3 linked regions of the Anolis sagrei genome follow. The protein of the gene in region 1 purifies or fractionates together with the protein of each later gene. This does not show direct contact. Links are inferred from orthologs where the notes say so. Each region holds a gene or a part of one and is shown on either strand. Other genes may lie near its edges. The genes, in order: KCNQ1, AKAP9 and NEDD4L.

Region 1 (6,918 bases):
GAAGTATGTGCGCAACTCATCAAATAGATCCAGACCTTAAGAATGTTACTTTTTTGGATTGCAACTTCCCCCCAAAAGTCTTCTGGGAGTTGCAGTAAAAAAAAAAAAAAAGCTTTTCCAAGACCTTCAGCACTGAGCAATCCACAGCGGAACTTTCCATTGGGCATAACAGGTACATGGTTCAAGGGGGCCTGTCTGGAAACACACCTAGAGCTGCTACCCAACAGAGCTGTTCCTCCACCCAAGGTCTTATACTGATGGGATTACTAAAAACGCATATTCTGTAAGACAGGCATCACAAGCTAAAAAGGGGAAAACAGACTTCTGTGTGACAAACACATCTGAGGATCTTACAATGAATTGTTACATACGTCGCCTGCAGTATATTTTAAGTATGTTTTAATTTGTTTATTGTATGTTTTATTGTTGATATTGTGTGTTTCATATGTTGTAAACCACTTTGGTTTGGTGCAGCATGTTAAACTGCTGATCTGATTACCTTGCTGATCAAAAGGTCAGCGATTCGAATTCAGGGAGCATGGTGAGCTTCCACTGTTAAGCCCAGCTTCTGCCGACCTAGCAGTTTGAAAACATGCAAACGTGAGTAGATCAATAGGCACCACTCTGGCGAGAAGGTAATGGCACTTCTTGCAGTCATGCTGGCCACATGACCTAGGAGATGCCTACGGACAATGCTGCCTCTTCAACTTAGAAATGGAGATGAGCATTACCCCCCAGAGCTGGACACAACTAGACTTAATGTCAAGGGGAAACCTTTATCTTTTTAACCGCTTTGGGTCCAGCCGCAGAGAAAGGCAGAGGGAGAAATATCTTAAACAAACAAATAAATGCTACAAACTCTTTCCTAGAAGTTTAGTGAACCCTTGGTATCTACTGGGGTTTGGTTCCATGGATAACAAAATCTGTGGATGCTCAAGTCCCATTATGTACAATGGCACAGTAAGAGGGTGTCCCTGCACAAAATGGCAAAATCAACATTTGCTTTTGGGAATTTTAAAGAAATGTATGGTTTAATCTGTGAATGCAGAATCTGTGGATGCGGAGGGCTGGCTGCATCCTCCACTGAACCTAACGGAAATGACTCCCAAGTATGAGCATGCCTATTGCAGTTATCCGTTTGCTTGTTAATTTGGTGGCATTACCTATACCCCAGTAGTGCAGTAGGTTAAACCACTGAGCTGCTGAACTTGCTGACTGAAAGGTTGGTAGTTTGAATCTGGGGAGCGGAGTGAGCTCCTATTTTTAGCCCCAGCTCCTGCCAACCTACATTTCAAAAACATGCAAATGTGAGTAGATCAATAGCAATCACTCTGGTAGGAAAGTAATGGTATTCCATGCAGTCATGTTGGCCACATAACCTTGGAGGTGTCTACGGACAATGCTGGCTCTTCAGCTTAGAAATGGAGATGAGCACCACCCCCCAGATTAAGACACAACTGGACTTAAATGTCAGGAGGAAACTTTTACCTTTACCTATACCCTATCTTATAGGGACTCAGGGAGACTTAGGGTTTAAACCAAGCAAACTCTAGCGACGCCTGGGGTGCATATAGACTGTACCACGAAGGAAGTTCAAAACCACTTTAAATGCCATGGCCCAGTGCTATGGAAACCTGGGTGTTGCAAGTTGAGAAGGCTCTGGCGCTTTTTGGTGGAGAAGACTCCAGAACAAGCATGGGAAAACTTTGGTCCTCCAGGTGTTTTGGACTTCACCTCCCAGAAATCCCAGCCAGCTTACCAGCTGTTAGGAATTGTGGGAGTTGAAGCCTAAAACACCAGGAGGGCCGAAGTTTGCCCGTGCCTGCTCCAGACCTTGTAAAATGATTCCACAGCATTGGGTTCCTGGCAGTCCAAGTCCTGTCAAACTGCATTTATCCTCTCTGTCTTTGTGTGTGTCTCTCTCTAGTAATTTTATTGAAGGGGAGGGAGTGGTGATAGTAGAATAAATCAAGGGTGTCAAAGGTCTTTTCACCAAAGGCCACAACTGCCTTACGGTTGCCTTCAAAGGGTTGCTTGCAACTGCAAGACTGTACACATGGAACTATGTTGACCTCTTCTTGGAAGCCTCGTGGACCAAATACCAATGATGCTCGGTCCTTGGCCTTGCGTTGGATGCGCGTGGCACAACAAAGTACCAAGTTAGACGTGTTTTAGAAGTGCACCAAAGCAGCAACTTTGAGCTGTCATGCGATGGAGAGAAGGTGTGCGAGGTTGCGCAGGACAACCCGAAGAGCCGAGGCGGGTTGCTTCGTGTGGGGAAGGGAGGAGGAGGAGGAGGAGGAAGAGCCGCCTGCTTGCCGGGGCCGGGCTCGTGGGAAGCGGACTGCAGCCCCCAGCATCCCGGGCAGGATGCAAAGCGCCCTGGGTGGGAGGGAGCCCACTCCTGCGAGAGATGGTGCCCGCTGCCTTTCCTTCCCCTCCCCTCCTCTCGTCCTACTCTAACTCCGAAGGGCTCCCCTCCCCCTTTCCCCTTCCCCCCCCCCCCCCCCCCGCTGACTCACACGGTGAAGTGGTAGACGAAGCACTTCCACCCGGTGGGTCTCTCGAGGAAGTTGTAGACCCGTCCTTGGATGTGGCTGCGGCTGAGGAGCGGGCGCCGGGCGCTGTAGATGGAGACGCGCGGGTCCAGGTTGACCGAGGGGCGCGGGAAGTCGGCGCTCATCACCACCCGCGCCGCCACCGCCTCCTCTTCGCCTGATCCTCCTCCTCCTCCTCCTCCGCCTGGCGGGCTGCGCGGGGCCGGGGGGCCGGGCGCCGAGAGCGAGAAAGGCGCGTAGCGGGCGTCGGGGGCGTTCTCGGCCAGCTCCAGCGCCGAGGGCTTGAGGCTGCCTTTCTTGGAGAGGACCGAGAAGCGCTCCAGGGTCCAGCGGCGCCGCTCCGCCTTCGCGGGGGAAGGGGAAGGAGAAGGCGAAGGCGGCGGGGAAGCAGGCATCGCGGCCAGGCCAGGCGGGGGCAGCGCTGCTCTCCTTCGCTCTGGCCTTTCTCGCCGCCTGCCTGCCCGTCCGCCCGCCCGAGAGCCCTTCTTGGCCCGGCCCACTCAAGGGGAGGGAGGGAGGGAGGGAGGGAGGCTCCCCGGGGAAGGAAGGGCCCCGCTCTCCGCCCCGATGCCTCCTGCCCGTCGCCACCCAAGGAGCCCCGGCGCGGACTGCCGAGGAAGGAGACCGGCCCTCCTTTTCTTTTCTTTTCTTTTCTTTTCTTTTCTTTCTCCTCTCCCTTCCCTTCCCCTCCTTTCCTTCCTTCCTTCCTTCCTTTCTCCTTCCTTCTTTCTTTCTTTCTCTCTTCCTCCCTCCCTCCCTCTTTCCTTTTTCCTCCCCCCTCTCTTCTTCCTCCCTCCTTCCCTCTTCCTTCCTTCCTTCTTTCCTTTCTTTCTTTCTTTCTTTCCTTCCTTCTCCCTCCCTCCCTCTTTCCTTCCTTCCTTCCTTCTTTCTCCCTCCCTCCCTCTTTCTTTCTTTCTTTCTTTCTTTCCTTTGTTCCTCCTTTACTTCTCCCTCACTCCTTCCTTCCTTCCTTCTTTCTTTCTCTCTCTCTCTCTCCCTCTTTCTTTCTTTCTTTCTTTCTTTCTTTCCTTTCTTCCTCCTTTCCTTCTTCCTCCCTCCCTCCCTCTTTCTTTCTTTCTTTCCTTTCTTTCCTTTCTTTCTCCTTTCCTTCTTCCTCCCTCCCTCCCTCTTTCTTTCTTTCTTTCTTTCTTTCCTTTCTTTCCTTTCTTTCCTTTCTTTCCTTTCTTCCTCCTTTCCTTCTCCCTCCCTCCCTCCCTCCTTCCTTCCTTCTTTCCCTGACAAGGCTCTGGTGCTTGGCACAACCGGGCAGCAAGTTCACAGACAGCAGGTGCTCTGAAGGCTGCTGTGGCCTTCTTGGTGTTATTGCGACTCTCCCTTGCTGCCCCCGGACCCTGGCAGGCTACTGGAGCACAGGCCACCTATTTCAATGCAGCCTGAGCCCTGCCACATGCACAACGGAGGACCTTCTTATAGGAATACCAGAGGCACTCCAAGGGGCCCACTATTGGTCAAAGGACATTTAGTATCATGACAAGTTTTTAACCTTTGTGTTTTTTAAATACATTACCTCTGTAATCTTGGTTCTCTCCTGATAGGATAAATGAATTGGAAGTCCTCAATAGTGACCATGAATTCATTTCTGCTGACACAACTGACATTGAAACATCATATTTGAAAAACTTTTGTATAAATGCAACAATTCCAAATACTATATATCTTATACCAGTAGTTCCCAACCTGTGGTCCGTGGACCACCAAGAACGAAAATATGGTCTCTGGCTTCACCATTACTACACCGTTGCCTCAAAACCCTGCAGCAACAAGAGCAACTGGTCTTGCGAAACCCTCTTATAATGTCAAGGCAATGGGAATTTGGGAGGGGAGAGGCTGACTGCCCACAAAAGATTACTACTACCACATCAGCTCTAGATTATTCACTATGGTTTTCTGTGGGCGAGCAGATGGTGACTACTGGATGGCCTATGTTCTGTATCAGAAACTAGAGCTCATGTAGCCTATCCAATGCAGTTTTCTGAATCAGCACCCCAAATAACCAAACCAAATCTAAAATTGACCAAAGATTGATTCGTAACCCTGTTGATACTAATGTTGCAGAGTCGTCCCTGGTCAATGGTCCCTTGTCAAAAAAAAAGTTGTGAACTTATACCATATTTACTCAAGTCTAATGCACCATCAGATCTAATGCACACTTCCATTTTCAAAACCCTGAAATAAAAAAAGGGGGGGGGGGGATTATTTGCTGCCAAAGGTCATGTGCAGCAGCAAAAAGTGCTCTCTTTGTCATTTGCCCCTTACAGTTGGTGCCTACTTAGAATTCTCCTTTAGAACACCAAAACTTCCAGCAATGGAAAGGAAACCTTGGGATGCTACATTCTCTGCTGCAGGATGAATGCACTTTAATTATCTTGGTTCAATGCCATGGAGTCATGGGGTGGGCGTGAAGTTTTTCAAGTCTTGAGCCTTCTCTGCCAAAGAATGCAGGTGCCTCGCCAAACTACAAATCCCAGGATGGCAAAACATTGAGTCTGAGTCTGGCCATTAAATTTGAGATATAAATTTCAAATAGTGAAGCAGCTTCCCCTTTGGCTTTGGCTCAGCATAGAATCATAGAATCAAAGAGTTGGAAGAGACCTCATGGGCCATCCAGTCCAACCCCCTGCCAAGAAGCAGGAATAGCACTAAGATTACAGTATGATGCGAATCTCATGCACACCCTAACTTTGACAAGGTCATTTAGACAAAAAAGGTGAGCATTAGATTTGAGTAAATAGGGTGTATAGTACTACACGATTTGTGGTCCAATATGTAAGAGAAATATATATATTATTTCTGTTTCCATTATTTAGCCATCATTTTCTGGTGTATATAAGATCTCTTTTAAAGTACACCAGGCCCTTGGTGCCCCCCCTCCCCCGAGGCACAGCATGTTAAACCGCTGAGCCACTGAACTTGCTGACAAAAAGGTTGGTGGTTCAAATCCGGGGAGCAGGGTGAGCTCCTGCTGTTAGGCCCAGCTTCTGCCAACCTAGCAGTTCAAAAACATGCAAATGTGAGTAGATCAATAGGTACCTCTCCGGTGAGAAGGTAATAGTGCTCCATGCTGTCATGCTGGCCACATGACCTTGGAGGTGTCTATGGACAACGCTGGCTCTTTGGCTTAGAAATAGAGATGAGCACCACCCCCCAGAGTCAGACATGACTAGACTTAATGTCAGGGGAAACATTTACCATTACCTTTTAGGCCCTTGGTATGTCTGATCACCATCTCCCAAAGCAATTACGTTATTCTCAACTTAAGAATGGAAAACAGAATGTTGGTGGACAGCAAAAGAGATGTAAAGATCAGCTTAAAGCTAAACTAAATGTGGTATAAACACAGAGAATTGGGAAACCCTGGCCCTCAATACAGGACAAAAAGAAGAGAAGTGTCAAGCAAATCCTTCTCATGATCACCTTCTATCTGAACATCTGTGTCCTCATTGTGAAATACCACGTGGATCCAGAATAGGTCTTCACAGTCACTGTCAAGGCTCTCTCTCTGGAAGACAATCATACTCAGCCACAACACATTGCACATTATGACATGATTTGAAGTATGATAATATATACTAGAAAAGTGTATATTATTTCCATTATTTAGTTACCATTTAAAGTAGAGGGGGCCTTGGTACCTGTTGGAGTTTGGTTCCAGCCTCCATCTCCCCACCTGCTGAACATACACCTGGATAACAAAATCAGTGAATATTAAGGTCCCATTATATACACTTATATAAAATGGCAAAATCAAGGGTTGCTTTCTGGAAATTCATTTTAATACTTTCAATCCATAAATACAGTAGTTCCATGGTTTGGAATGGTCGTCATGCCAGGAAAGGTTACTTAGTTAAGTAAACTTTATTGAGGAGCTGATACAAGATTGCAGTCAAAGTAGCTGTATCTATGTATGATTGAGGAGAAATAAAACTTGCATTATTATTGATATAACCAAAAAAACTGAAACAATTCAGTTTTAAATTTTACTTGGTAACTGCTTTGGGAAACAGGCATTTAGACAACATGGCTGCTCCAGTGAAATTGATGGTGGAGAAGGAACTGTTACAGATGAGTAAATCTAGATAACTGTTTCGTATTTACAATCACTCTTTAGTCATGACTGTGACACTATTGATCAGGGATTGTTTAAAAACTGTGCAGAACAGACAAATTGAATGTGTCTCTCCCCCAAACACACACTCCAACTTATTTTACCTGACATCAGCTGCATAGGAAGAAGAAGACCCATTCTGCATGGGTGAATATGGTTTGGAATGGTGGTCATGCCAGGAAAGGTTAGTTAAGTAAACTTTATTAAGTAGCTGATACAAGATTGTAGTCACAG
Region 2 (7,848 bases), on another chromosome or scaffold:
CCTTTAGAATAATGTGATGTGGTTCATGGACAAAGTCTTCTCTGAATATTTCACACATAAAGAGTCAAATCTATTTACATGTGCAGTTCGCATGCTATAGCCATGTCTTCTTAATTTGCTGAGCACAGGAATGCTAAATGTGTTGATGAATGCACTTAGCTTGCAAAATTATAATTTATCAAGTTATTACGATGTTTTCTTTTTCTGTTTTAGAAATAATATTAAATGGAATTGGAAAAAAAGAATGAATCACCTAGTAAATAGTTTTATACATGGGGCATGTGTGGAACACTTGCATGGTGAAATAAGTTCCCCATGACTGATATGGTATTACATTCGTTTTGGCCGCCATAAGTTTCATCTTAGAGAAAACTTAACATCCACAGTCAATACTTTATAGTGCCTGTCAGCACTTTTTGCTTATTTCCCACCCACTTTTCCTGTCATTCATGGAGAGCTCTTTCAGTCCTAATGCATAATTTACAAAATCGCCTTCCTTATTCATTCTTTTTCTATCCTCTTTGCTCTTTGTCCATTCTGTTTCTTCTGTCTAGCGTTCCCTGAATGACCTACATTTCAAAGTCTGCATACTCTAGCCTGTTCTTTATCTCCCATGCTTCTTTATCTTCCTGCTCCTTAGCCTTTCTGCCTTCAGACCCTCTTTATCCTCTTTTTTTCGGATCCAAACAGCAACGTAATATTTTTATTTATTTTATTCATTATTTACTTTGTTTTATCTTGCCTTTTTCCCAATATAGGGACTCAAGTCAGGGCTTGGAACTTCTTGATTAGCAGAGACAATGATATATTTTAATTTTTCTCGTAATTCCTTCTAAGCTGAGCTGCTATCTTCCAAATGGCTAGAGCAAAAGAGCTTCTCCAACAACATATTGTCAGGTCCTTATGCTTTAATTTAGTGTGTTGATATGTACACAAGGGGCCACGGTGGTGCAGTGGGTTAAACCACTAAGCTGCAAAACTTGCTGATCAGAAGGTCAGTGGTCTGAATCCGTGAAAAGGGTGAGCTTCCGTTGTTAGCACCAACTTCTGCCAAACGAACAGTTTGAAAACATGCAAATGTGAGTAGATCAATAGGTACTGCTTCGGTGGGAAGGTAACGGCGCTCCATGCAGTCATGCTGGCCACATGACCTAGGAGGTGTCTATGGACAACACTGGCTCTTTGGCTGAGAAATGGAGATGAGTACAACCCCCCAGAGTCGGATACGACTGGACTTAATGTCAAGGAGAAACCTTTACTTTTACATGTACTCAAATATGCATACATATATCATAGAGGTGTGGAAAGCAATGGACACAACTGTATGAATTTTGGACCCCCTGGCAATGGGCATTTTGATCATCATGTGATGGAGGTTTATTTATTTATTTATTTACAACATTTATATGCCGCCCTTCTCACCCCGAAGGGGACTCAGAGCGGCTTACAAGGTATATATTACATACAATATTATATTATTAGCATAGTACAATATCAGCATTAAACATAGCTATATTGCACCATACTACTATAACATAATATTATTAGTAATATTACACATATTAATATATAATTATAATATCATATTGTTATTATATTGAATTACATTATAATATTATAAATATTATATGTATATACAATATATTATATTATATTATATTATATTATATTATATTATATTATATTATATTATATTATATTATTAGGATAGCACTGCACTTCTAGACATAGGCCTCTAGGCAAACTTTTCAATTCCCTTTCAGAATCTCATTTTCTGAGCAAACAAAATAATCAGAAATATTTCACAGCCAATAAATGTGAATTGTAAGTGTAAAATTAAATCTTGCTCCTCTGAAAATGGGACAGTTTTGAAAACTTAAAATAACAGCAAAAGTGTATTATTCTGTTTTAGATATTGATTTTACTTTATTTATCTGTGTGCAAGAGGGATATTCTCCTCCAAGTAAACAGATAGTAACCAAAGGAGATATTCTCCTCCAAGTAAACAGATAGTAACCAATAGTAACCAATTTTATAAAGGGGATATAGATTGCTCCTTCAATTAAAACAGAAAGTGTTTCTATAAATGATTCAAACAAAGGTTCTTGTGCAATCATTTAAAATTCATTCTAATGACAGTAATTCAATCCCATTAATTTAACAGGCTAATCTTCTGCAAAATTAAGCACACTTAGTCACTGAATTAATTGGCTTCATAAGATCAGGTTGTGATTCACACAAACCGTGGGTTTTATTTATCGATTGAACAAATTAATTAAGGACCTTTACTTATAGACCATCTTTCAGGGCCTCAATAGATTGGTATTACTAGGAAAATAGTTTTGCAGAACGGCAAACATAACTTTTCATTTGAAAAGTGATTCAAAATCATGAGCAACAAATAACTTGGTATTATTATTGCCACATCCTCATAACAACAAGCGGCCTTGTAGCTCTTTGAAAACTAAAACAATTATTATGGTACAGATTTTAATGAAAAAAGATGCCCTATAGTTCACCAAATGTTGTGCCATTAACATTGGTATTTATAGAGCCACAATAATCTTTGTTTGTTTTGTTCTAAGAGAATAAGATGGCCAGTGTTCTAGAAAATGTCACAGTTCACAGACGAAGGAACTTGACTGCGATGAACAGTCTGAAGCCACATTATCCTATTGCAAGTTTTGCAAGTCCTTGAGTACATCACAGTGTAGAATTAATGCAGTTTAATACCACTTTAACTGCCATGGCTCAATGCTGAGCCACGGCAGCAGTGTGTGCAAGTCATGTCAGAGTGCATTAATTCTACAATGTAGTGCGAACTTTGGCAAAACCTCAATTTCCAGGATGTTACCCTTGGTAACACCTTTATATGCTTTTATGGTTTTAACTTGAATTGTTTTAAATACCAATGACATTTAATACTGCTTTAATGCCTTATATTGTATATTTTAAATTGTATTGTGATACTTTTAATTGTGAGGTGGTCCCAGTGGTGATCGGCACATTGGGTGCAGTGCCTAAAGACCTTGGCCTGCACTTAAACACAACTGGCGCTGACAAAATTACCATCTGCCAGCTGCAAAAGGCCACCTTACTGGGATCTGCATGCATTACTCGCCGATACATCACACAGTCCTAGACACTTGGGAAATGTCCGACGTGTGATTCAATATAACAACCAGCAAAGTTATCTTGTTTGCTGTGGACTCGTCTTGTTGTGTTTCTAATAATAATAATAATAATAATATACAACTCCAGCTCCCTTGGTAAAACTAGAACTCTTGTGGCAGTTAAAAGAGTATCAAAGTGCATTCACTCTACAGTGCAGCGGCACCCTTAGTAAAACTATAACTCCTAGGATGGTAAAACTTTGTAAAACTATGGAACAGTACCAAATTAGAACTCTCGTGGAAGTTAAAGGGGTGTCAAAGGGCATTCACTCTACAGTGTAGAAGCCCTCTTAGTAAAACTACAACTCTCATGTTATCCTTGGAAAAAACTATAACTCCCAGGTGAAGCCACAGCTCTCTTGGTAAAAAGATGCAATAGTACCAAACTTGAACTCTCTTGGCCGTTACAGGGATGGCAAAGTGCATGGATTCTACAGTGTAGAGGCACCCTTAGTAAAACTACAACTCCCAGGATGTTATCCTTGGCAAAAACTACAACTCCCAGGCAAAGTCACAGCTCCTTTGATAAAACAATACCAAACAAGAACTCTCATGGAAGTTAAAGGAGTGTCAAAAGTCTACAGTGTAGAAGTGCTCTTAGTAAAACTACGACTCCCATGTTATCCTTGGAAAAAACTACAACTTCCAAGTAAAGCCACAGCTTTCTTGGTAAAACTAAGGAACAGTACTAAACTAGAACTCTTGTGGGAGTTAAAGGGGTGTCAAAGTGCATTCACTCGACAGTGTAGAGGCACCCTTAGTAAAACTACAACTCCCAGGATGTTATCCTTGGCAAAAACTACAACTCCCAGGCAAAGTCACAGCTTTCTTGGTAAAACTAAGGAACAGTACTAAACAAGAACTCTCATGGAAGTTAAAGGAGTGTCAAAGGGCATTCACTCTACAGTGTAGAAGCGCACTTAGTAAAACTACAACTCCCATGTTATCCTTGGGGGGGAAAACTATAACTCCCAGGAAAAGTCACAGCTCCTTTGATAAAACAGTCTCATGGAAGTTAAAGGAGTGTCAAAGGGCATTCGCTCTACAGTGTAGAAGCGGTCTTAGTAAAATTACAACTCCCATGTTATCCTTGGGGGAAAAAACTATAACTCCCAGGTAAAGCCACAGCTCTCTTGGTAAAACGATGGAAGAATACTAAATTAGAACTCTCTTGGCAGTTACAGGGGTGTCGAAGTGCATGCATTCTAGTGAAGAGGCGCCCTTAGTAAAACTACAGCTCCCAGGATGTTATCCTTGGCCAAACTACAACTTCTAAGTAAAGCTACTGCTCTCATGGTAAAACTATGGAACAGTACCAAACTAGAACTCTCTTGACAGTAACAGGGGTGTCAAAATACAGTGCAGAAGCGTCCTTAGTAAAACTACAACTCCCATTACACCACAACACTGAGCCATGGCGGTGTTAAAGCGGTGTCAAACTGCGTGACACCGAAAATAAACCCAAGGTTAAAGAAAAGCCACCCTGGGGGTCTGCCAAGGGACGCGAAGCTCTTTAAGGCGGTGCTATGGCAACGGCTGTCCCCGTTGCCGCGCTCCCTCCCGCCGCTCGGAGGAACAGCCTCCCTTCAGGTGGGCAGCGAACGGGAGGCGTTTGGGGGCGGGGCTGGGCCCGTGACGTCACTTTCCCCGGCCGCGTGTTTACGTGGAGGCGAAGATGGCGGCGCCGGTGGGTCCGCCACAGAGCTTGCTCTTCTCCTCGTAGCCGGGCAGAGCTGGCCTCTCTCGCGTGTGACTGCGGGGGGAGACGGGTAAAGAAAAGACGCTCGTTTTGGGGCCCTCAGGGCCACTTCCTCCCTTTACGGCTTTGGTCATAATCATAATAAACACTGTGGTCTCTCTCTTTTCCCGCCTCAGGGACCATGGAGGACGAGGAGAGGCAGAAGAAGCTGGAGGCTGGCAAGGCCAAGGTAAGGACTGGAGGCGGAGGAGAGGAAGGCCTGAAGCGACTTTGGAGGATCAGTACAGTTTGACAGAGCTTTAACTGTCATGACCCAGTGTTGTGGAAGGATGTCAGGCAGGCATGGGCAAACTTGGGCCCTCCAGGTGTTTTGGACTTCAACTCCCACCATTCCTAACAGCCTCAGGCCCTTTCCTTTTCCCCCTCAGCCGCTTAAGCGGCTTAAGCGGCTGAGGGGGGAAAGGAAGGGGCCTGAGGCTGTTAGGAATGGTGGGAGTTGAAGTCCAAAACACCTGGAGGGCCCAAGTTTGCCCATGCCTGATATTGCAAAATTATAACACCACATTTCTCTAGTATGGTAACATGGCAATTGAAGTGTTAAACTGCATTATTTCTCCAGTGCAGATGCATCCTCGATACCTAGGAAGAGAGGAGAGGGTCAAGGTTACCGGTCCATGTAATATAATGATTGCATTCTGACACCAGTTTAACTCAGTGCTGTGGGAATTTGGAAGTTGTAGTTCGATCGTAGAATTATAGAGTTGGAAGAGATCTCATGGGCCATCTCGTCCAACCCCCTGCCAAGAAGCAGTAAAATTAATTCAAAGCACCTCCAACAGATGGAATCATAGAGTTGGAAGAGACCTCATCCCGTCCAACCTCCTTCCAAGAAGCAGGAAAATTCATTCAAAAACACCTCCAACAGATAGAATCATAGAGTTGGAAGAGACCTCATCCCGTCCAACCTCCTTCCAAGAAGCAGTAAAATTCATTCCAAACACCTCCAAAAGATAGAATCATAGAGTTGGAAGAGACCTCATCCCGTCCAACCTCCTTCCAAGAAGCAGTAAAATTCATTCAAAATACCTCCAAAAGATAGAATCATAGAGTTGGAAGAGACCCCATCCAGTCCAACCCCCTGCCAAGAAGCAGGAATATTGCATTTAAAGCACTCCTAACAGATGGCCATCTAGCCTCTGTTTAAAAACCTCCAAAGAAGGAGCATCCACCACACTCCGGGGCAGAGAGTACCACTGCTGAACAGCTCTCACAGTCAGGAAGTTCTTCCTAATGTTCAGATGGAATCTCCTTTCTTGTAGTTTGAAGCCATTGTTCCGCGTCCTAGTCTCCAGGGCAGCAGATAACAAGCTTGCTCCCTCCTCCCTGTGACTTTCTCTCACATATTTATACATGGCTATCATGTCTCCTCTCAGCTTTCTCTTAAGGCTAAACATGCCCAGGTCTTTAAGCCGCTCCGCTCCTCATAGGGCTTGTTCTCCAGACCCTTGATCATTTTAGTCTCCGATCCTTAGCCTTTTCTGTCAAAGGGGGCTGATGCCTCACCAAACTACACATCCTAAAATTCCATAGCATTAAGTTAAACTTCTGTCAAAATGCCTTCATTCTATGGTGTAGATCAGGCATGGGCAAACTTTGGCCCTGCAAGTGTTTTGGACTCCAACTTCCACAATTCCTAACAGTCTACCAGCTGTGGGAGTTAGAGTCCAAAACATCTGGAGGGCTGAAGTTTGTCTATATCTGGTGTAGCTGCATCCATAGCTCTGAGAATTGTTTCACTGCAAAATTGAGTCATGACATTTAAAACATTTATATTGGGTTTTGTAGGAATTTGAGGTTCAGAGTCCCCTCAAATGATCTTAGGTTTGTGACATTATGTATAAGCTTATTCCATACACAACTTGCTTTGATATACCTATGTTGCCAGCTGGAGTTACGATAGTATTGAATTTTCTTCTCCCCACAAGTTGTTTGGGTTTTTTCATTGTCATCTGGGACTGACACCTGTAAAAGAAACCTGTGGTGCGGCATTTTGGTGTTTCTTTTATGACAGGATTGTGACTGGTGTTGAAATTTGTGGACAAAGTGTTGGGTGGTATGACGTTTTGATTGCATTTTTATTTTTGTTTGAGCTGTGACTAAATGTTGTTGAAATTTGTAACAAGACGTCTCATGTGATATGGCATTGTTATTGTATTTTTCTAACTCATCACCCCAAAAATATATCAATATTTGTGAAGGGGGAGTTTTTTCCCCATTGTAGACCTGTGTTATTGTAGGAGGGAGAGAGGCGTGCCTTGGCATCTTTCCCGTGCTGCGCTTTCTTTGTTTGGGGCTCTTTCTTTGTGCGTATATGCTGGAGGTGGTGGTAATGCTAATCGGTATACCGGGGTCCACCTTCTCATGAAAATGAAAAGCTGCAGAACAAGGCGCTTGCTTACTTGCCTGTATGTGTTGTAATGCGATTGGCTCTTGACAGCTGTTGCTGCTGGACAGAGACACAAGTGCATGCCTTGAAAATGCCACAGGTGCCAACTGGTGGCGGTGATTCTTCTTATTGCAGAATCAGACAATCTGATTAAGAGATCTTTAAAAGGCTTCTTGGAGGTGAAAAAGACTTCTTGGAGGTCGCATGTGTGCATAGCTCTCACAGGAATGAATGGTATTAAGAATGTATGAATCTCAGCCTTCTCAGGCATTGGAGCAGAAGTGCAATGCAGTCAGAATAAAACAGCAATGCAGACAGCATAGTTAGAAACACTATAGGCCAAAAGTAACACAATTCTAAGAAATGCAGTGTGAGATTTGCCACCATGCAAGTTCTCCTCCACACAATGGGCTGTCAGGCATGCCTGCGGCACCACCCCCAGCCCTTGTACCACGTGATATAGAAGCAGACTAACATTTGTATATCTGATTCTTGTGATCCACCCCCCTCAGTTAAGGGATAGAATCTAT
Region 3 (7,045 bases), on another chromosome or scaffold:
CGGGAAGTATGATGATTCTTTGTACCAGGGCTTAAAAGAGACTAGGAGGACAAAACAAGACTCTTAGAAAGTATGAAGGGCTCTTTTGGGGAATGTTTAAACAAAACAGGGTGATCTTAGGAGATGCAATACTTATTATGGGATGTGTGTTGGTGCGGGTGGCTCTTTGAGGTTTGGAGGGAGGCATAGACTGCTACTATTTTGTTTTTCCAGAAAATGTTCACAATGGTAGCAAATGGTTTAAAAACATATCAATCAAATCCGCAAATAGTGAAACCCAAGAAAGTTAAATCAAAAAGTGTGGTGGGCTGACTGTACCTTCATAACAGCAGAAAAAACATGCAGGCCATGGTTTAGAAGTGTAGAGCTTCCCTGCCCATTGCATATAAATTTGCATTGTGAGACAAAATATTGAACAGTTTGTGTCCATAAATCATTTTAAAAAGAATTCTTCTCTTTTGTCTTGTAGGTAAATCCGTCTAACCACAGACTGCTTTTTGAAGTATTTGATGAAAACAGATTGGTAAGTATTCTCTTCTATATTTTGTTGTTGTGTTGTTTCTATGTTTGTTCAATTCAACCCAATCCTGAGGTTTTTTGGAAAGATTTATTCAGAGGAAATCCACAATTTATTTCCTCTTGGGTTGAGAGAATATGACTTTTTCCAGATCACCCCTGGGGTTTCCTTAACTCAACGAGGACTTGAATCCTGGCCTCCCAGAGTCTTAGTCCAAACTACTACATCACACTGGCTTATGTCTGTTTGTTATATTCATGTAAAAAATGAATGTTTCTTTCTGTGGCATATTATAAAGAGTTTTTTTCAATTTTGATTATGAGAAGTTAGTCAATTTTTCCCCAAAAGAAAAAAAAATAAGGAAGCATGAAAATTGTTTAATAAGTAGGCTTGCAAATAGTTCTGAGTTCTTCTTAGAAATGCTGCATGTGAGGTGTTTGGACATTATGGTTCATAGGGTTGTGAGTTTTCTGGGATGTTTGACCATGTTCCAGAAGCATTTTTTCTGGAAGTTTCTCCCAAATCTATGGCAGGCATCCTCAGAGTTTGTGAAGCTTCACAACCTCTGACTTCACAACCTCTGAGAATGCCTGCCATAGAAGTGGGCGAAACATCAGGAGAGAATGCTTCTGGAACATGGCCATACAGCCCAGAAAACTCACGGTAACCCAGTGATTCTGGCCATAAAACCTTTGACAACACATTATTGTTCATCTTTGTGCTCCCAAGATGCAGTTGTAGAAGCCCCCCTCATGTGGCTGCTTGAGACATCCACCTGAGATGGAACCAGTGACAGCCCTCAACTGATTCTCCTGAGTTCCCCATTACTTAGAACAGGGGTTCTCAAACTGTGCTTCTCCAGATGTCATGGACTTCAGTTCCCACAATTCCTAACAGCTGGTAAACTGGCTGAGATTTCTGGGAGCTGAAGTCCAAAACACCTGGAGAAACACTGCTTTAGGGGATAGCTCTGTGTGACACAGATCCCTGTCTTTCACTTGCTAAACTACAATGTGGTAGTGATGTGATCCTGTCATATTCCCAGGACTAAAGTAAAACTGCTAGTTGATTTGTACACAGAATGGAAGCACGTGAATTGCACTGGGCTGACTGCCCACCTCATCCCCCTATGCTCACTGCTGTCATTGAGTGACTGAACATTAGTTGAAGTTTTAAATAGCATATAACTAATAATCATGGAGTTAGAAGAGACCATAAAGGCCATCCAGTCCAACCCCCTGCCAGATAAGAACACACAAAGCACCCCCAAACTTAATCCTATGTCTGCCCAACTTTTGTCACAAATAACTACCAAATTGGAAAGCAAGTGTGGTATTGTGGTTTGAGTGTTGGACTGTGAGACTGTGAGATTGGCATTTGATTCCCTGCTCCGCCATGGAAACCCACCATATGACCTTGTGCGAGTCCTACCTCTCAGCCTTAGAGAAAGCCTTAGAGAAAGGCAAGAGAAAACACTCTGTGAGTAACTTCTGCCAAGAACACTACATGTTAGGATCACTTTAGAGTTGCCATAACTTAGAAATCACTTGAATAAACAGAATAACAAGGTTGGTGCTAGGGTTTGAGTAAGATATACCACAACCTCCCTTCAGGATAGACATTTTTGTATACTACGGTTGCTCTGGGATATCTTTACTGTCTTTCCACTGAATTGAATATTAACGTCTTTGAAAATGAATGAAGCCTTGTGTGGATAAACTGGAGTGTTCATCAAACGTCAACTTATGGTCTGACCCCTCTTTTTTCCAAGCATTGTTTTTCTGTCAAAGTAAGGGTTGCTTGTTCGTATAATATGGAAATAGGCTCCAAAGTCTGAAAACTGTGTTAAAATAATGCTGGAGGAACCTCCAGACTAATACTTACTTATTATTATAATTATTACTGTTTAGCAAATAATAATGGCTCCCCCACCTTCGTATTTTGTTTTGTTGTTTCTTGCCACCTATTAATAATAATAATAATAATAATAATAATAATAATAAACTTTATTTATATATCACTCTATCTCTTCTAAGGGACTCAGGGCGGTTTCCAAATAGCAAAACACCAACATACAGAGTACGCAAAACATAAGCGTAGAATTCTCAAAACAACACAAATACATTAAAAACCAATCCCAAAAACACAATAGGGGTTTGCACTAGCCTTCGACTGTCAGTGCTGTTCCCCTTTCCCCTTTGTAATTAGAGCTGTTTTATTTCTCTGTCTGAAAACAAGTTGCTAGAAAACCGAGGCTGAAATGTCTATGATGTGACTCAGACCCGACACCTGTATAAGATTTCTTTTCCCCTTTAGCTCTATGAAGCTTTCATTTACAAAGGCAGTTGTTGTACTTGCCTCCTGACAGTACTGTTTGGTTTCATTGCCTTGCCTTTAAATTCATTCTTGAAGGAGTGTTTTCAGTTGTACTTCAGCCATACCTCCCCTCCTTATTATTTAAACTACCACACAGAGCAGAGCCGAATTCGGGCATTGTTTAATTTTGGGTTTCAGACTGCCTGTTAGTTCTTCTGATGCTTTTGGCTCCTAATAAAGCAGAGCTCTGTTCCATTCTGGCAACCCAAGCTACTAATATTGCTAAACTTTCTCACTGGAGTTTTGCCAGCGCTGGGCAGCGTTTATGTACGGTGTTTAAGTCAGATCTGTACAGCTCTTCATGCACACCCTGTTCCAGATTTTACTTGCCTTCTCAACCTCTTAAAAACTGGGAAAGAGAGACTGTTGCTTGCTACTGGCTGCTTCTTGAATTGTGCGTGTAAGAGTTTTTTCTCTCTGTTTTTTTTCCTCCCCAAAAAGATCTTACTGTAGCCAAAGTGGGTTATTATAGTCCGTTTATGGTGGCAATATGATATCTGTGTCTTTCACTTCAGGAACGTATTGCTGCTTAAATTGCTTCAGGCATAAAGAGAGAAATATGCGGTTTCTAGCGTTCTCTGATAAGTATTTGCAGTAGTCTGAAGTTTGCAGCCAACTTTAAACAAACAAAATTTCAGTTTCTCTCTCTCTGCCTTTGCCCAGCCATTTTTTCCCTTGGTGATTCCCGATCTGCATGAACATATTAAGTGGATTTATTTTTCACGGAGGGAGGGAGAGGTCTTGTGTGGCTTCCCCCACTTGTCTTTCTTTTTCTTTTGGCTTAGAACAGAAATGTTCCGTGAATATGATGCAGTTTAGATTTATAGCGGAGTCGAGTGTGTTTGCTGCCTTAGTCAGCTGTGAGAGATCTCCCGCTGGGGCCGCTCCTTTTCTGATGGAAAAGGAACAGCTGTGAAGGTGCTGTTTCAGGCTATTGCTGGTATTAAAGTGAAAAAAATAGTTGCTTGCATTGGAGAGGGGGAAATGGGTCATGTGATGCCAGCCATCCTACCCTATGTCACAGTTTGGAGGAGCACCGATTGCTCTTATCCAATCATGCCTGGAATGCTGCTGGCCACTTGGGCTATTTCTGCTGCCTGTCTCTATCGGTGCAGTAGTGCTAACAGTTTGGCAGATGGGACACTTTTTCTTGGAGTTTATGTCTTTAGTTCTTAATTTCTGGCAGTGCCTGGACTCGTCGCTGTCTCCCCCTCCCCTCTCCTTTCTCCTGAAACCATGGCCCATCGGCTGCGGTTTCATTTTGGCTCCGGACGAAGCAACACCGCTCCTGAGTCGGGGATCCTTGACCGTGAGAGAGAAGAGGATGACTTTTTCATGGCATGCCACACTTTGCCCAGAAGGAATGGGCCTCATACTTTCTCAAGGCGAAGGGCTGAGTGTGGAGATAACCACAGGGATTTGCGGGAAGCCGGTTCCTTGAAGAGGAGCACCTCTATGTTTATTCCTCAGCTTCTCAACAGCATAGATGCCCGGCCCACCAGGAGCTCTTCTGTGCAGATTTCACTCCAGCGCAAGGCTGTCAATGGGCATGCTGATGAATGCGAGGGCACGGAATCCCCCCCAGAAGACATGGGGGATTTTTCAGATTTAGGGGAGCATTGCACATCTCTTGATGGAAGCCATTCTTCTTCTAACAGTCAGCAGGTCACCCCAGACAACTCTCCACCCAGGCAAGCGGAGAACCCAGAGTATGAGATTAACGGAGAGCCATCTAATCACAGGATATTTTGTACCATCCCTTCCAATAACTGGACTGACAATGGTGCAGCCACTGGCCAGGACCACGAAGCAAGCAAAACCGGATTAGGCTTAAACATTGGCAGGGTAAGGATTCAGCATCGGGCTTCGAGCGTAGACGTGCCTCATGTTACGCTAATGCCCTTTGACTCAGAGGCGCCAAACAATGCTTCGGCCTCAGAACCCAGGCGCTGGTCTTTGCAACATTTGCCAGAAGGCTCTACCAATTCAGGAAAGAAATTCTTTGTTTTCCAATTGCAGCAGCCCCCGGCAAATAGCACAGGGACAGACTACAATTTTGGTTTCACGGGAACGAAAGGGGATCGGTTGGTTAGGTATCCACGAATACGTCTGGAGAGGAGTACCTCATATCCAGTTCACCCACAGCCAGAACGCATTAGCCCCATGGAGGGTGAAAGTGTGAATTCAACACTTCACGGAAATAGCAGGAATGGCACTGAAAAATCCAGAGGCAATCCAGTGGAGCGGGTTTCTCCAGGGCAAGGATGCATGTTTAAAATCCATCCAGATCAAAACTCAAGGCAGCAGCATTTCAGAATTCTTGTAACTCGTGGGATTAATGAGAAAGGTCAAAGTTCTGGATCAGAGAATTCAACTGGTTCTGCTCCTGTTGCAACCAATTCATCAGTAAGTAAATGTTAACGAAGTGGTAATTTAAGTTTTCACTTAGATTGTTTTGAGTCAGGGGATAAGGGGAATGGAAACTCAGATGCTTCGTGCAGGTCACATAGTTGTGAAATATCATATAGCAATGTTAGAAAGACCTACAATCTTCCAGAACAATCTGAAAGCATCTATGTTTTGTTAGGCTAAAGTAGCTTTCAGTTATGACTACTTCCAGTGCAATGTTTTCAGGTCTTCTGGTGACTCATGAGTTACTTAATTCATTGCTACGTTGTCAAATACAGTTCGGTAGTTATGTGTGTGTATATAATACTCTGCCCATTTTGCCTTATTTCTATGCTTTTAAAAAAAGTCCTATAATCTTTAAAATCTCAAGTGATATATACATTTATGCCAAACATACTATGTATACCTCGTTAAAAGTTAAGGATCAAAAGCTGTTTTTCAAAAATATTAGCGCAGTTTTAGTGTCTTTTTGTTTAATTGCTTATAAATGTGAAAAAGTAGTCATGGAATCCCAAACGTTTTGATTTGTTAATTTCAGTTTTGGTTATACTACTATTTTCGTCATTAGCCTTAACAAATTAGGTATATTTCATATTCTACAAACAATAGGCATAGTTTTTTTTCACAGAAGGATATATAATAAACGAATGCCAAAGTTGTATTTTTTAAAATTGTGCTTTGTTGTTGCTTGAATGCCACTAGTCTCTTACATGTTCCAGCTCCATATGAAAACAAACAAAAGAGATGTTTTTGGCCCGTATCGCTTCCGCCTGTGTAATCATGGCATATATTGCAGTTCGATGCTGGAAGGCAGCATCTAACTGTGGGAAGGCATTGTGATGGTTGCTGCGTAATACAAAAAGACTTTTATTCTACCCAGTTTAACTTATCGATATATACCTATTATATCACTGAGAAGATTATAGATGCCTAGCACCAATTGCATTCCAGATAAGGGAATCAGGTTCATAAAGACATTGTTCTTTTCTTTTAGGCATCATTGTGTCAGTATTGTGTGCTATTTTTCTTTCACTGTTAGTGTAGGAAAAATCACTCTAAAATTTCCAGATTGAGAGGAAACAGAAAAGACATGCATTCCAGCAGACATTTAATTCTGCTGAGTTTTTACTCTCTTTACCACATACATCCCTCTGGTTTTATTTTGGACATATTGAAATGACATTAAATGGTTTGAGGTTATTTTGTTCCCTTAATTTCTGGTATTTGAATTTTTAAAGCTGTAAAGGTTTCTTATTTGAAGAATCTATACGATTTTTTGGGGAGCTGCTTAAGCTGAGATGCAAATCAAAAATGCATATGTGAGTTTTAGCTGCCACTGAAGGGGACTGGAAGAGGCAAAAGATACAGTATGTGCCAAATGGTGTTAACTCTTCTACAAACTGTTCATGTTGGTGCGTGTGTCTTTTATTGAGTACTAAATTCACATTAAGGCAGTGAATGAGCAAGTTCCCCTATGAGCTCTTTTGACACTCTTAAAAATGTGGGGGTTCGGTATATATTTTCTATACTGTCCAAGATGGTTAAATGAATATCTTCCCTCATATTGAGAGCTCAGAGAAAACCTATTATTGGGTTTTTGCATGGCCAAACCCAATAATGGACTCAGTTTAGAATAAGATCAGAAATGTGCAACCAGGGGACTAGGAGTGACAACTTTTGCAATATTACATTACTACACATAGATATATCACCAGCAACAATTCGTACATCTACATCTCCTTA

Evidence for each region.
Region 2: the proteins of KCNQ1 (region 1) and AKAP9 purify together in Homo sapiens (affinity purification with western blotting; 3 studies listed by BioGRID and IntAct, with this or other methods). This does not show direct contact. The link is inferred for Anolis sagrei from reciprocal best matches to the Homo sapiens genes KCNQ1 and AKAP9.
Region 3: the proteins of KCNQ1 (region 1) and NEDD4L purify together in Homo sapiens (affinity purification with western blotting, with the first as the bait; 3 studies listed by BioGRID). This does not show direct contact. The link is inferred for Anolis sagrei from reciprocal best matches to the Homo sapiens genes KCNQ1 and NEDD4L.

The regions. Positions count from the first base shown.
Region 1 is NC_090021.1:245,562,388-245,569,305, reverse strand, and holds the start of KCNQ1 (potassium voltage-gated channel subfamily KQT member 1), read right to left. Parts: upstream 3,009-6,918; 5' UTR 2,954-3,008; coding exon 2,523-2,953; intron 1-2,522. UniProt on the Homo sapiens protein: Pore-forming subunit of the voltage-gated potassium (Kv) channel involved in the regulation of cardiomyocyte excitability and important in normal development and functions of myocardium, inner ear, stomach and colon.
Region 2 is NC_090026.1:102,885,819-102,893,666, reverse strand, and holds the start of AKAP9 (A-kinase anchor protein 9), read left to right. Parts: upstream 1-4,825; 5' UTR 4,826-4,942; intron 4,943-5,048; 5' UTR 5,049-5,053; coding exon 5,054-5,101; intron 5,102-7,848. UniProt on the Homo sapiens protein: Scaffolding protein that assembles several protein kinases and phosphatases on the centrosome and Golgi apparatus. Required to maintain the integrity of the Golgi apparatus. Required for microtubule nucleation at the cis-side of the Golgi apparatus.
Region 3 is NC_090022.1:282,591,596-282,598,640, reverse strand, and holds the start of NEDD4L (E3 ubiquitin-protein ligase NEDD4-like), read left to right. Parts: upstream 1-3,941; 5' UTR 3,942-4,129; coding exon 4,130-5,299; intron 5,300-7,045. UniProt on the Homo sapiens protein: E3 ubiquitin-protein ligase that mediates the polyubiquitination of lysine and cysteine residues on target proteins and is thereby implicated in the regulation of various signaling pathways including autophagy, innate immunity or DNA repair.